Yarrowia lipolytica: one gene and its partners. The protein of the gene in region 4 purifies or fractionates together with the protein of the main gene of each other region. This does not show direct contact. Links are inferred from orthologs where the notes say so. Each region holds a gene or a part of one and is shown on either strand. Other genes may lie near its edges.

Region 1 (2,944 bases), on a different chromosome or scaffold from region 4:
ACTCCGGAAGAGCGGTGGAAGAAGATTTGCTCCGAGCCGTTTGAGCTCATTGTTCGCGGCGTACTCAAGTATGATCTGCCGCTGTTCCACAAGGGTCAGTCCACCACGGTTTCGAAGAGTGTCAAGGTGACGCCACATAAAAACTAGCTATTTAATATTTATTGAGTGTATTTCATCTGTGTGTTATTGTTCCCTGTGGCTACAGTAGAATGTATATCTAAGATACTTGTACAGCTTTTCTTTGTGGTTATACTGTACTGTATGTGTTGTTTTCCGTGTTTAACATCTGATTTTCTGGACACTGTATGATTGTATGTGTGATACGAGAGATACGATACAACGGAAGAATTATCGTAAGTCGTTTTTGCAGTGTCTAATCATGACCAATACAAGGCATATTTAATATGACCTGATTAACTACAATACAGTGCACACTTCAGGGGACTGCTGTGACCTCTACGTACAATCCACGATGTCGATCTTAATATGTATTTCTATGCTTATTCGGCAAGAGCCTTGGCGAGCTCGTGTCGGCCAGCCTTGGTGTAGAGCCACTCGTTCTTCTCAGAGGCCTGGGTCCAGACGTAGTAGAAGAAAGAGACGGGCAGGATGACAAAGAGAGCCTGGTTCTTAGTTCGTCGGAAGGTGTTGAAGATGGCAGCGTGCACGACACCGGCGAAGGGTCGAGCAGCAAAGGGGGAGATGGTGTATCCAGCGATACCTGAGTTAGTATGATTGGGGAAGGAGTGACGATTGACTGGTGTGTGGTGATGGTTTGTCTATCTTGCGCGTGACTTTTTACTAGACCCTCAATTCGACCACAAAGGGACCAAGTTGGCCCTGGGTCGGTTGTAGTAGTGGACTGGTTGTACCAATATCATTGATCACCTCTAACACACTCTTGATGTGGTATGTTGTCCACGTAGGTCACCGCCTGATCATCACGCACCATTGTTGTCCTGAAGCCCTCATCGCGTGTCGAATAGCGTCCAATAAATAACGCAAGGCCTCATCCTGTCTTCTTGTACTCACCCTTCTGAGGGGGGGAGCCCATGTGTCCCCACCATCCCATGTAGTGTCCGTTGCCTCCCATTTTGATAGATGTGTTTAGTTAGTGAAGGTGAGATGATTTTCGTGAGCTTTGGCTTTGAAAGATACCCGTGTGATTCCATTGGCTGTTGGGAGGAACGGTAGGGTAACCCTGGGGAGCATCACTGTGGTGTGCTGGGAGCAAAGCTTATTGTGGGCGAATGGAACACTTCCAATATGCATGGTTCAGTGTCAGCAGCAAGCTGAATGATGAGACAATATGGGGACAATATGGAGACAGTAAAACGAGATGATAACTGACGATAACATGATGAACCCGAAAAGCATACATTCTGGATTTATGATTGGATGCTGCTTATTGATATATTTGTACAAATCTTGTAGGCGATACTCCTCAACATACATCTCTACAAGGACATGTTCATACTCTTGATGTCATTGTTATACATCTATCGTTTGATTTCTCTATGGCTCTATTAATCCGTGGGAGCCGTTTCTCCACCGCACCAGGCATGATTAAGTGATTGTAGCTATGGAGTGTACATGCTTGTAGTTGGTACAGTCTAGTTTAAACGCCGTAGACGTCACGCAGTCGCTTCTGGATGATGGGAGGCAGCTGCTCGGTCACGTCCTTGTCAAAATTGGGGTGCATGCCCTTGAGGCCACCCAGCACCTGTCGAAAGGTGTGCATCAGCGCTTCGCTAGGCTCCAGGTATCGGGCCACGGCATTCACAAACATGAGCAGGGTGGAGTTGTCGAGGGCTTGGGGGTTGGACGAGATGATGGTGCACATGCCCACAAACGCGCTTTCCTTCTCGCTGTTGTCCATGGCGTCATGCATGTTGAGACACCAGGCAATGATGAAGTCTGGGATTCGCTGCGCGAAAATGTCGGGCATGGTAATGCCGATTCGGCCAATGGCGGTCGAAGCGTTTTCCAGAACTCGTGGCGATGCATCTCGGGTTCGCAGAAGCGCAATGAGCCGCTCGGCAGCAGATGCCTGCAGAAGAGGTCGCAGCTTGTCGCCGAATCGAAGAGCAATCTCTCCCAGTGACCAGCAAGTGTTGCTGACGGCATCAGGCCAAATGTGGTTGTACTCGACCTGGTTGAGCAGCTCCTCCATCAACTGATCCATGTAGGGCTCCAATGGCTGGGGGCACAGGGCGGCCATGTCTCCAATGAGCGCAAATGTCGATTGCCGCACGTCAAACTCGTCATGGCAGCACACAAGAAGCAGCTCCATGAATGGGGGCTCGCTGTTCATCATCAAGGGAGCTGCCTTGTCCTTGAGACCGAGCACCAGACCGTCGACAAGATCAATGGCAGTCACCATAAAGTCTCGCTCGGCAGGATCCTGGGACGGGTCGTTGGAAAAGTTCTGATCCTGAACCAAGCACGAGTGCAGCAGACGAGCGCATCGGTCAAACACAGGGGGAGCATAGGGCTCAAATGCAGGGCCCATGTACGAGGCCACGGCAGACATGCACTCAAACAGTGGCCACAGGGCGTTGTCGTCGTCGCTAATCTGCTCCCACTTGGCAATCAGAGGCTGCATCAGAGTCTCCATGTATTGTTGGTTTTCGGCAATTTCGGCGCCGCAATACTTGACCAGAGTCGAAACTGCGTCGTACAGGAACAGCAGCGACTTCTTCTGGTAGCGTCGGAAACAGAGCGCAAACTGCTCGAGAATCTGGCCGAGGTATGGAGTCAGCATGTTTCGGGCCTCGTCAGTGAAGGTGGCCACGGCAGAACAGCCGGCAACCTGCACCTTTTTGTTTCGGTCCAGGGCACATGTAAAGAGACCTGTAAGCGTGGGGATGAAGTAAGTGTCCTGCTCGGACATGCTCTGTTCGCAGACCCAGGTTGAGAACCGGCCCAGGGTCCAGCAACAAAC
Region 2 (3,656 bases), on a different chromosome or scaffold from region 4:
CCCTTTAATTGCACCGCTGACTAAACATGGTGGAGCCTACACTACAAGGACATGTAGCTATGGACATGTTGTTTAGGGAGTGTAAGATGGGATGTGAAAGGGGGATGAGGAAAACATACAACTACTTGTAGTATGACTGTATATTCAGATGACGACCAAAAAAATAGATCATATTTCTACGCTTTTCCTGTTTTTTCCTTTTTTTCCCCAAATTTTTCCATCTCAATCTGCCAATTCATCTCCCGTCAACTTTCATCACAGCGCATACAATATGCATGCACGTTCTTTTTTATATTTTATATATATGTTTTATATTTTTATATATGTTTTATATATTTTTATTCCAGGATGCGTGAGTAAAACGGGGATAAAACGGGAAAAAAACGGGAGTAAAACGGGAGTAAAACGGGAGTTAAAACGGGAGTAAAACGGGAGTAGGAGGTGAACCACGGGCTACAGGGAGGTCACGAGCTACAGTGTATTCGATATCGGGCTGACTTCATTTCTAAAAAGTCAGATTATGAGTGTCTGTTATATACAATATATGTTCACCAGAGTCAAGTCCTCCAACTGGCTGAATTTTGACCGTAGAAAGCTGAAATTTGACACAGACATACTGGAGACACAGAGCAGACGGGAACAGCGATTTCTCTCCTTATACATCTACACCAACGAGGTATACGACACCCCAAAACAAGCCACTTTCACAACTCTAACCACCTTGGGCATGCATGTTTGAAAAAAACAATCTATGGTGATGAACATGACTGGGTAGGGAAAGAATGGGATAAAAATGAGTCAAATCAGATTCAAGATTGGTATTGTCGGGGAACACGGCGGAGGGGCCCATGTGACCAAATTTCAGCAAGACCCGATCCAAGTAGCGCCCACAAGGGGGACCTTTTAGTCATACCGGTCAATGCAACTCCAGAATCAGAGGTGAACAATCAGAGGAATTGTTATAAGAAGATGTCGATAGAAATGTCTCCGTCCAGCCAAGTCGACGACATGTTAAACTCCCGAGAACCTCTTTCTGTGGCCCCATCAGGCTAACTTTGGATGCGGACTCAAATACAGTCACAACTCGTGTTACAGTAGTCAGAAACGACTTGCGAAAACACCAATGTACTCCCACAATTCCAAGGGTCACAATGGTATACTCAACTCGTCCTCAAACCGCCCTCACTGTTGCAGAATCCCCGTCGCCAATTGCCCTCGATCCCATTTGCCAACTTTGCATCAACTGTAAACAAACTCGGAGATTTGACAAACTTGGAGATTTTTTAGATGCACGACCAACGTCATATTGAGGGAGATACGGCGAGGCGGGGGGAAGAGGTCACGTGGATGGACAGACCACGTGACCATTGCCACTCGGTACACGCCGACTCCATAGCCAGAGTTCGTCTATTCACGTGATCTGTCTCAAATACTACGCTGCTCAAACGGCTCATAATTTTGTATGTACAATGATGATTTGCGTGATTCGAGTGATTCGAGTGATTCGAATGATTCGAGTAATTCGGAAACAACACCACACAGTGCACGATTGAGACGGGCGGCGCGGACGAGGGGCAGATCACGTGACCGACCGGGTCCAATTGAGCTCCGCTGGCGGAAAAAAGACGGATATATCTTGGCGACCGCGCGCTCCAGTCGTCTCCTCCTGGTCGATGGTCTGATGCTGAGGAGTCCCAACCACGCGCTGCCCTAACCCTCGCACTCCACAACCAATCAAAACCGACGCTTTGAATGTCTTTTTGGCAAAAAAGGTTAATGTGCGCTCGCACAAATCACACCCAATAGTCAGTTCACCAACCACCCAGAACTAACCCCTTCACAACACAACACCCCCCCAAACCCCACACAAAAACAACCACAATGTTGTCTGCCCGATCCTCCATGACTCGGGGTGTTCCCCGACTGGCCGTTGCCGCCCGACACTTCTCCACCGCCGAGGCTGCCGGCGTCAAGGTCGCTGCCCAGGACGGCCAGTCCCCCATCTCGGACCTGTCTGTGGTGCTGCGAGGTGGTTCTCGATACGCCACCGTGCCCGGCGTGTCGCACATTCTGGAGAAGTTTGCCTTCCAGAACACGGTGCCCAAGTCTGCTCTGCGATTCGTCCGAGAGCTGGAGCTGTTTGGCGGCAAGCTCTACACCCACACCACACGAGAGCACATTGTGCTGCGAACCCAGTTCCTCAAGCAGGATCTGCCCTACTTTGTCGACGCCTTTGCCAACGTGCTGAAGGAGACCAAGTTCCAGCAGTTTGAGCTCACCGAGCGAGTCGCTCCCGTGGCCGAGCTCGACCTCCTCAAGCGAGAGTCGGACCCTGCCTTCACTGCCCTCGAGGCTGCCCACGAGGTTGCCTTCCGAACCGGCCTCGGAAACTCCGTCTACGCCCAGGGCTACTCCCCCGTCACCCTCGAGGACGTCAAGGAGTTTGCCCGACAGGTCTACGCCAAGCAGAACGTTGCTGTTGTCGGCAACAACGTGGTCCCCGCCGATCTGCAGCAGCTGGTCGGCACCGCCTTTGCCGACCTGCAGGAGGGCTCCAAGGTGACCCAGGCCGGCACCACCACTCTCCACGGCGGTGAAGCCCGAGTCCGAACCTCCACCGGCAACGCTCTGACCATCGCCCTGCCCATTGCCGAGCCCAAGCCCGTCTACCACGCCCTGGCCTCCTTCCTCGGCGGCCCCGCCTCCATGCCCTGGTCCGTCGGCGCCTCTCCTCTCGCCCAGGCCACCGTTGGCACCCACACCTCCGTCAAGGCCACCTACCACAACTACGGAGACGCCGGCCTCTTCGCCATCACCATCAAGGGCGACTCCCCCGCAGAGATCTCCCAGGTGGCCCACAAGGCCGTCCAGGCCCTCAAGGACACTGGCGCCGAGGTGACCGAGGAGCAGGCTGCTCGAGCATACGCAAAGTCCAAGTTTGCCGCCGCTGAGGCCTTTGAAAACCCCGACTCCTCCGCATCCGTCATTGGCATGGAGCTTCTGTCCGGAGTCTCCCGAATCGCCCCCGAGAACGTGCAGAAGTTCACTCCTGCCGAGCTCTCCGAGGCCGCCGCCCAGCTGTCTGCCAGCGCCAAGCCTGTTGTTGCTGCCGTTGGCCAGGTCCACGCTCTTCCTTTCGCCGACGAGCTTTTTTAAGCGGTAGGTTAGCATAATAAAACTAGATATTGACGACCCTCTACTGGCGCGCAGTATCATCCTTGCGACGCTGTCACGAGCATGATCTTGCGGCAGTATATGGGAGCAGACGTAGACTACGTTGCGAGTGCCACGGTCACTAGTGATGTATGTACACGTAGGGTGACGATGTTATCGTAGAGTGATACCAGTGACGGGTCCGATGATACCGGTGACAAGAAAGAATGTGGTGGGTATGACCGCGATGGGAAAGAGTGTCAGGATGTAGTGTGGACTGTGTGTATCGTCATGAGATGCTTCCATGAACTACGCTCTGAAGTGGTCTTGTCGAGTGTTGTTGCAGGGAGGAAGTTCATTTGGAGACGAGAGATTTGTGGGAGAAGATAATAACGGGTTGATCTTGTTTCATCAGGGGATAGAGCAAGTAGAGGCGTGAGGGGTCTGTAGAACTGAGGGTATTGGTCTCATCGGGGGTATCCATGGTAATCTGGGTGTACCGT
Region 3 (2,768 bases), about 800 kb from region 4:
ACAGGCACACAACCTTAAATATTTCTCCACCTTGCATCGGGCCTGCTTTATCTGCAACGTGACGCCAAAAAAGTGTTGTGAGAGCACCCAAGCACTATTTACTAACAGAAACAGACGATCCAAGCGACGGACTCGTTCTCCTTCCCTTCAACCACTGCCAACGTCACAGAGCTGACATGTCCGACAACTTAAACGTGACAGCGTTGAGTAGGGCCTATGTGAGTACACCGGCACCGCTAGCAGCTACGTCTGGATATCGGATCTAACTAACACAGACTCAAACACAATGTGTGTCTCTGCTATCGCAAATCGCCGATTCAGTCACATGTATCGTGTGCCAGGAACTCATGTGTCTGCCGTGTGTGCTGGAGTGTGGGCACTCTTACTGCTATGATTGCATCTCGACCTGGTTCACCAAGGTCAACACCTGTCCTTCGTGTCGGAAGGAGTGTCACAAGAAGCCCCATATCTCACATGCAGCGGCAGGTATATCCAAGGCCATAATTGCAGCTATAATCGAAACAGACCCCTCCAGGAAAGCAGAGTACGACGAACTCATGCAAAGACAAACGGAAGAATACAAGAGAGATCTGTCGATACACAACTCGATGCTTCCAGGCCTCTTTTCAGATAGCGAAGATGGCAGCGACTTTCAATTCGACGCCTCTCTGGCTTCAGCTCTGGATATTGAGACCCATGAAGGCGGCTTTGATTCAGATGAGTTGTCAGATTCAGGCTCAGAAATGATGTACGGAGTGCCTGGAAATATACACTGGCTCGATAGACAGGGTCAGCGACATTATCTCGACTGGGGAACCACCATCAACCACATCATCATGCAGTCTTACTATCGCCATCGCGTGGAGGTTTCCATCCGTGCGGTGAGTGACACTACAGAACACACAGAACAATACCACGATGCTCCAGATTCGCACTATGCACCAAGGACTCCTACCGAGGAGTTCCACGACGCACGTCCCTCTAGGCGACATATTCCTGAGCGTGTGATGATTGAGAGACCCCCGAGAAGAAACTCGCCTCCAAGTGAGCATGTTCCTCCGGTAGAGACTCCAGATATCAGTCTGGGGGTAAGACATGCGATCAAGTGGATCACGGTCGAGCCTACCAAACTAACCATTGGGGTAGCCAATGGAGATGAGAAGACATTCACGAGAGTTGTGGATGCACATATTAACGGTTCCAGAGGCAGTGATAGCGAGGGGTATTTCTCAAGCTAGTGAGGCGGGAGCCAAAGTGAAGGCAAGAGACAGAGCGTGCGAGAGGGGCAATCAGTATAGCGGTCTGAGAGCCTCAGTGAGATACAGATACCCGAGCACAGGTTCAGGGAGAGCACAGGCTCAGGGAGAGCAATACATACTAACTATTTATCAATAAAAATGTTATCGGAAACACAATCAATGTGGTAATGGTCATCGTACAGCCCAGCAAGTCTATAGGCCTTGATTGACCATACATACCCAAAACACACCCAGCACTACGATACTGTACAGTAGATCACAGGGACTTGCTTTGGAACGCTGCCGATACTTGTACTTGTACTTGTGGCATGTATACTGTAGGTATGTATGAGTGTACGTTTGAAGAACTAAGGGTATCACGTGAACAATAGCTTTGGTTTCTGCACTGTTACGCCCTTGCGAGTGGTTGAACATTTGAATGTCTGTCCCTGTTCCGATTACATAATATCATGATTATGTAAAAAATATGACACCACAAATTCCATCCACTCATCTCCAACAGCTTCTCCCAAAGCTGAACTCAAAGCGCCTTGGATCAGGCAATACTGCAGTCTGTGTTATACGCAGGACCCTATTTTACGCGCAAGGTTGGGTTTGAACCGAGCCTGATTGGCCGCTTGCAAACATTCGATTTTAAGTAAGCTCAGACGTACCACCAAATCCATCACTACATATCACAATGGTCGTGAGTACCGATAAACGCGAAACGAGGCGTTGAAACCCGACAGATCCACCGCCAGTGTTCTGAGCACGTCCCGTTTAGCGGGCTGTGGCTTTTGTGCGGCCTTTTTGCGCGGCGTGTGTCACCACATTACTAACCCAGAACAACGTCATCAAGAACCAGAAGCTCTTCCAGTCCCAGCCCAACGTGGCTCTGTGGAAGCGACACCCCCGATCCAAGTTCCTGCTGTACCCCTTCTACGCTTGTTTCGCCGTCTCCATGGGCGTTTCCGTCTGGTACACTGGCCGAACCATTCTTGTGAGTAGTATTGATATGTGGAGAACATGATTGGAGAGATGGAAGATGAGAAATTCGACTGATTGAGCAGTCAAGGATCACGACAATTGCAAAACTAACCCAGGGTATCAAGGATGAGAAGCCTGCCTCCGAGTAGACTTAATACATTTGCACATGATATTTGACTAGATACCGCAACCGTAGCGACGAGGGAGAAATTGCAACATCAAACCGACATCAGAACGACACAGAAACAATATTGGGGGATTCAGACCGAGAAGAAACACGACAGGGACACGTAGAACGAGAAGGCGGAGGTTTCCTGAGCAAGGATCGATGATTGATGTCTGAGATGTTATCTGATGACTAAGCACCTGAAGGGTTGATATTGTAAGACCCACTACTACTACAGTAATTACCTTACTTGTAGCACAGATAGTGAATGTAAAAAGATTTATTAAATACACAACTATATACTGCTGTTGCCACGGCTACTGCTTCTCATCGTGCTCAATGTCATCGGTGGTGATGATGGCAGCACTCTGCCAGCC
Region 4 (2,631 bases):
AAAGTCATGTGATATCTCAGCGACCAATCGCTCAGATGACCTGATAGCGCCTCCAAAATTATATAATACTTTGGCCATTATTATAAAAACAGTATTAGGCAATCTCACAATTACTCAGCTTCCCAATCCGACGCTTACACACCGAGTTGCACAACTTTTGAAACAGGTTATGACCACTCAACTTTGACCCAAACGGCGGTATTAGGCGACTTAGTCAGCGAAATCAAATCCGTCCCGTGACTTCCCGTGATCACGTGCGTACAATGATGTTATGTAACAGCAGAAATTTCCACCGAAAATTTCCACGTCTTTTCTAAACTCCTCATTTTCACTCTTTTCTTACCTCCCCGATTACGTAATTACTTATCTTTGATTTTGCGACCCACCAGAAACAACCAAATTGGTTGACACGTTTCACGTGATCCAATTACTAAGCACACCAGCCACCAGCTGGGACTTTAGCCACATCCACTGGGTACCCAGCCACGATTCCGCCCTAACCACAACCCCTAACCCTGAACACCATTCCAGCCAGTAAAAGGCGGTGCTTAGCTAAGCTTATTGCTGCGGACCTGACTCCCAACCCTAATCCTATTGCTCAAAGTGGAAAAATGACATGTTATTTTAAGGTTTCGCAGTCGGCCCACTCTGGCGCGCTGTGATTGGCTTAGCTCGGCTAACAAATCATGTCCCAAACTTTTAACAGTGTGTGATACGATTTCAGTGTTGGCTTCCACATAGCACCTTTCGGTACATTCCATATTTTTGCATAAAGTGGGTATTGAGATGATAAGGCGGATATTGTGGGGTGGACGAGAGAGGGGAGGATGTGACTCGGGCAATGTCACCTGTGAACAGACACGAGTCTTGTGTTTTTTGAGCAAATATCGACAAGCTACAGATGAGCAAATGAGATGACAGGGAGAGACCCAGGAAGAGGTGGAGATGACGAAAACAAAGACGATTGCGGGATGGATGGCACGACAGTTGTGGTGACGACGTGGAGAGTGTCGTGGATTGACTTGGAAAGTGTCATGGGGAGACATCGGGAGTGTCGTAGGGAGACGCGGGCAATGTGATGACTACATGCAGCGTATAACGAAGGAGAAATCGAGACCGGGGATGTCGCTATGTCGCTGAACTTGACTATTCGACCATTCGACTATTCGACATTGTGATGCACTTTACTAGTCGATGCCAGTCACTTCGCACTTAGCACTTTCAATGCATCAACCCTCTGACGTTTCCACCGACCCGTTACCTAATTCCGCACTCTCAGAACAGCTCAAATCAAACGACACAAAGATTTCGCAGATATCACAATTTCACGGATACCACTGAACCCCTCGAAAACGTGTTTGTGACACACCTGTGGCTGTGGCTGTGGCTGTGACGTGACTCCGTGTTACGACTAAGTGACGTGACTTATGTCATCATCAACAGATGGTGACAGCGTCAAATGCCATTTACCAGTTTCACAGCAGTTACTCTCAGCTGTGGCTGTATCCCGTACCAACGTATCCAAGCCGATTCATCATGAGATGGATGGGTCTGTGAGTTTGTACCAGACTTTTTGCACACCACGCTCTCACTCTACTGAGTCCACCACGCTTATGTCTCCTGTGCTTCAGTACTAACCCAGATGTTCGCCCTGAGAAGATCTCTGCTTTCCGCAGGCCGAATCGCTCGACCCCAGCAGGTTGCTCGATTCTCCTCTGCCTCTGCTCTCCTGCAGCACAAGGCCGTCAAGCCCGCCGAGAAGCTCTCCGAGGTCACCGGCCCCGAGTCCCTGATCGGAACCTCCGCCGCCCCCGGCACCGTGCCCACTGACCTCGAGCAGGAGACCGGTCTGGCTCGACTCGAGCTGCTCGGTAAGATGGACGGTATCGACATTTTCGACCTCGGCCCCGTCATCCGACCCCAGCACTCCGTCAAGGGCACCCCCGACGACCCCATCTGGGTCCCCACATACGACAACTCCCGAATCGTCGGCTGCTCCGGTACCCCCCACGGCTCCCACGAGGTCCAGTGGTTCCACGCCGGTGTCGATAAGGTCGGCCGATGCGACGAGTGCGGCGCCGTCTACCGAGCTTATGAGCTTGGCGCCGATGAGGAGGCTCCCCACCACTAAGGCTATGTATGTTAACTGAACAAACTGAGAGATTTGTCGCTTGTGCGTTGAAACCGTAGCGACATGCGAAAGAGAAACAACCATGGAACGTACAAACACAGCGTCTGTGTTGTTTTACAGAGGAAACCCGCTGTATCACCGCATGAGTAGCACTGTGGATGTAGACTGTAGGGTGCGGACGGGTGAATCTGAGAACCCACTGTATTATTGTGATACTGTAGAAAGTACGAGTACCTTAGTGGGACTGAGATGTAACCCTGAAGGCGACACTTGTTCGGACGTCGAAAGTCACGACACACCATGGGTGGATGTAACACCACCGTAGTTCTTAGCACCGTCATCTGCTCAGCTGTGAGACTGCCGACACGAGTTTTTCCAGTCACAACTGGAATGACACCGCTCACCGAGAGTGATCGATACAATGAATGGGTAGGCTCAATGGGTAGGCTCAATGGGTAGGCTCAATCTCAATGAGTAGGCCCAATGGATAGCTACCTTTT

What was found.
Region 1: the proteins of YALI1_E23635g (region 4) and YALI1_F02758g purify together in Saccharomyces cerevisiae (affinity purification with mass spectrometry; 5 studies listed by BioGRID, with this or other methods). This does not show direct contact. The link is inferred for Yarrowia lipolytica from reciprocal best matches to the Saccharomyces cerevisiae genes COX4 and QCR8.
Region 2: the proteins of YALI1_E23635g (region 4) and YALI1_F12013g purify together in Saccharomyces cerevisiae (affinity purification with mass spectrometry; 3 studies listed by BioGRID, with this or other methods). This does not show direct contact. The link is inferred for Yarrowia lipolytica from reciprocal best matches to the Saccharomyces cerevisiae genes COX4 and QCR2.
Region 3: the proteins of YALI1_E23635g (region 4) and YALI1_E15606g purify together in Saccharomyces cerevisiae (affinity purification with mass spectrometry; 3 studies listed by BioGRID). This does not show direct contact. The link is inferred for Yarrowia lipolytica from reciprocal best matches to the Saccharomyces cerevisiae genes COX4 and COX7.

Annotation. Positions count from the first base shown.
Region 1 is NC_090775.1:275,153-278,096, forward strand, and holds YALI1_F02758g (uncharacterized protein), read right to left. Parts: upstream 1,094-2,944; coding exon 1,033-1,093; intron 722-1,032; coding exon 501-721; downstream 1-500. Other genes in the region: YALI1_F02726g (uncharacterized protein), read left to right, coding at 1-147; YALI1_F02794g (uncharacterized protein), read right to left, coding at 1,619-2,944. UniProt on the Saccharomyces cerevisiae protein: Component of the ubiquinol-cytochrome c oxidoreductase, a multisubunit transmembrane complex that is part of the mitochondrial electron transport chain which drives oxidative phosphorylation.
Region 2 is NC_090775.1:1,199,529-1,203,184, reverse strand, and holds YALI1_F12013g (uncharacterized protein), read left to right. Parts: upstream 1-1,881; coding exon 1,882-3,156; downstream 3,157-3,656. UniProt on the Saccharomyces cerevisiae protein: Component of the ubiquinol-cytochrome c oxidoreductase, a multisubunit transmembrane complex that is part of the mitochondrial electron transport chain which drives oxidative phosphorylation.
Region 3 is NC_090774.1:1,559,983-1,562,750, reverse strand, and holds YALI1_E15606g (uncharacterized protein), read left to right. Parts: upstream 1-1,938; coding exon 1,939-1,943; intron 1,944-2,081; coding exon 2,082-2,268; downstream 2,269-2,768. Other genes in the region: YALI1_E15625g (uncharacterized protein), read left to right, coding at 177-218, 276-1,238; YALI1_E15583g (uncharacterized protein), read right to left, coding at 2,709-2,768. UniProt on the Saccharomyces cerevisiae protein: Component of the cytochrome c oxidase, the last enzyme in the mitochondrial electron transport chain which drives oxidative phosphorylation.
Region 4 is NC_090774.1:2,361,841-2,364,471, forward strand, and holds YALI1_E23635g (uncharacterized protein), read left to right. Parts: upstream 1-1,642; coding exon 1,643-2,131; downstream 2,132-2,631. Other genes in the region: YALI1_E23629g (uncharacterized protein), read right to left, coding at 549-1,046. UniProt on the Saccharomyces cerevisiae protein: Component of the cytochrome c oxidase, the last enzyme in the mitochondrial electron transport chain which drives oxidative phosphorylation.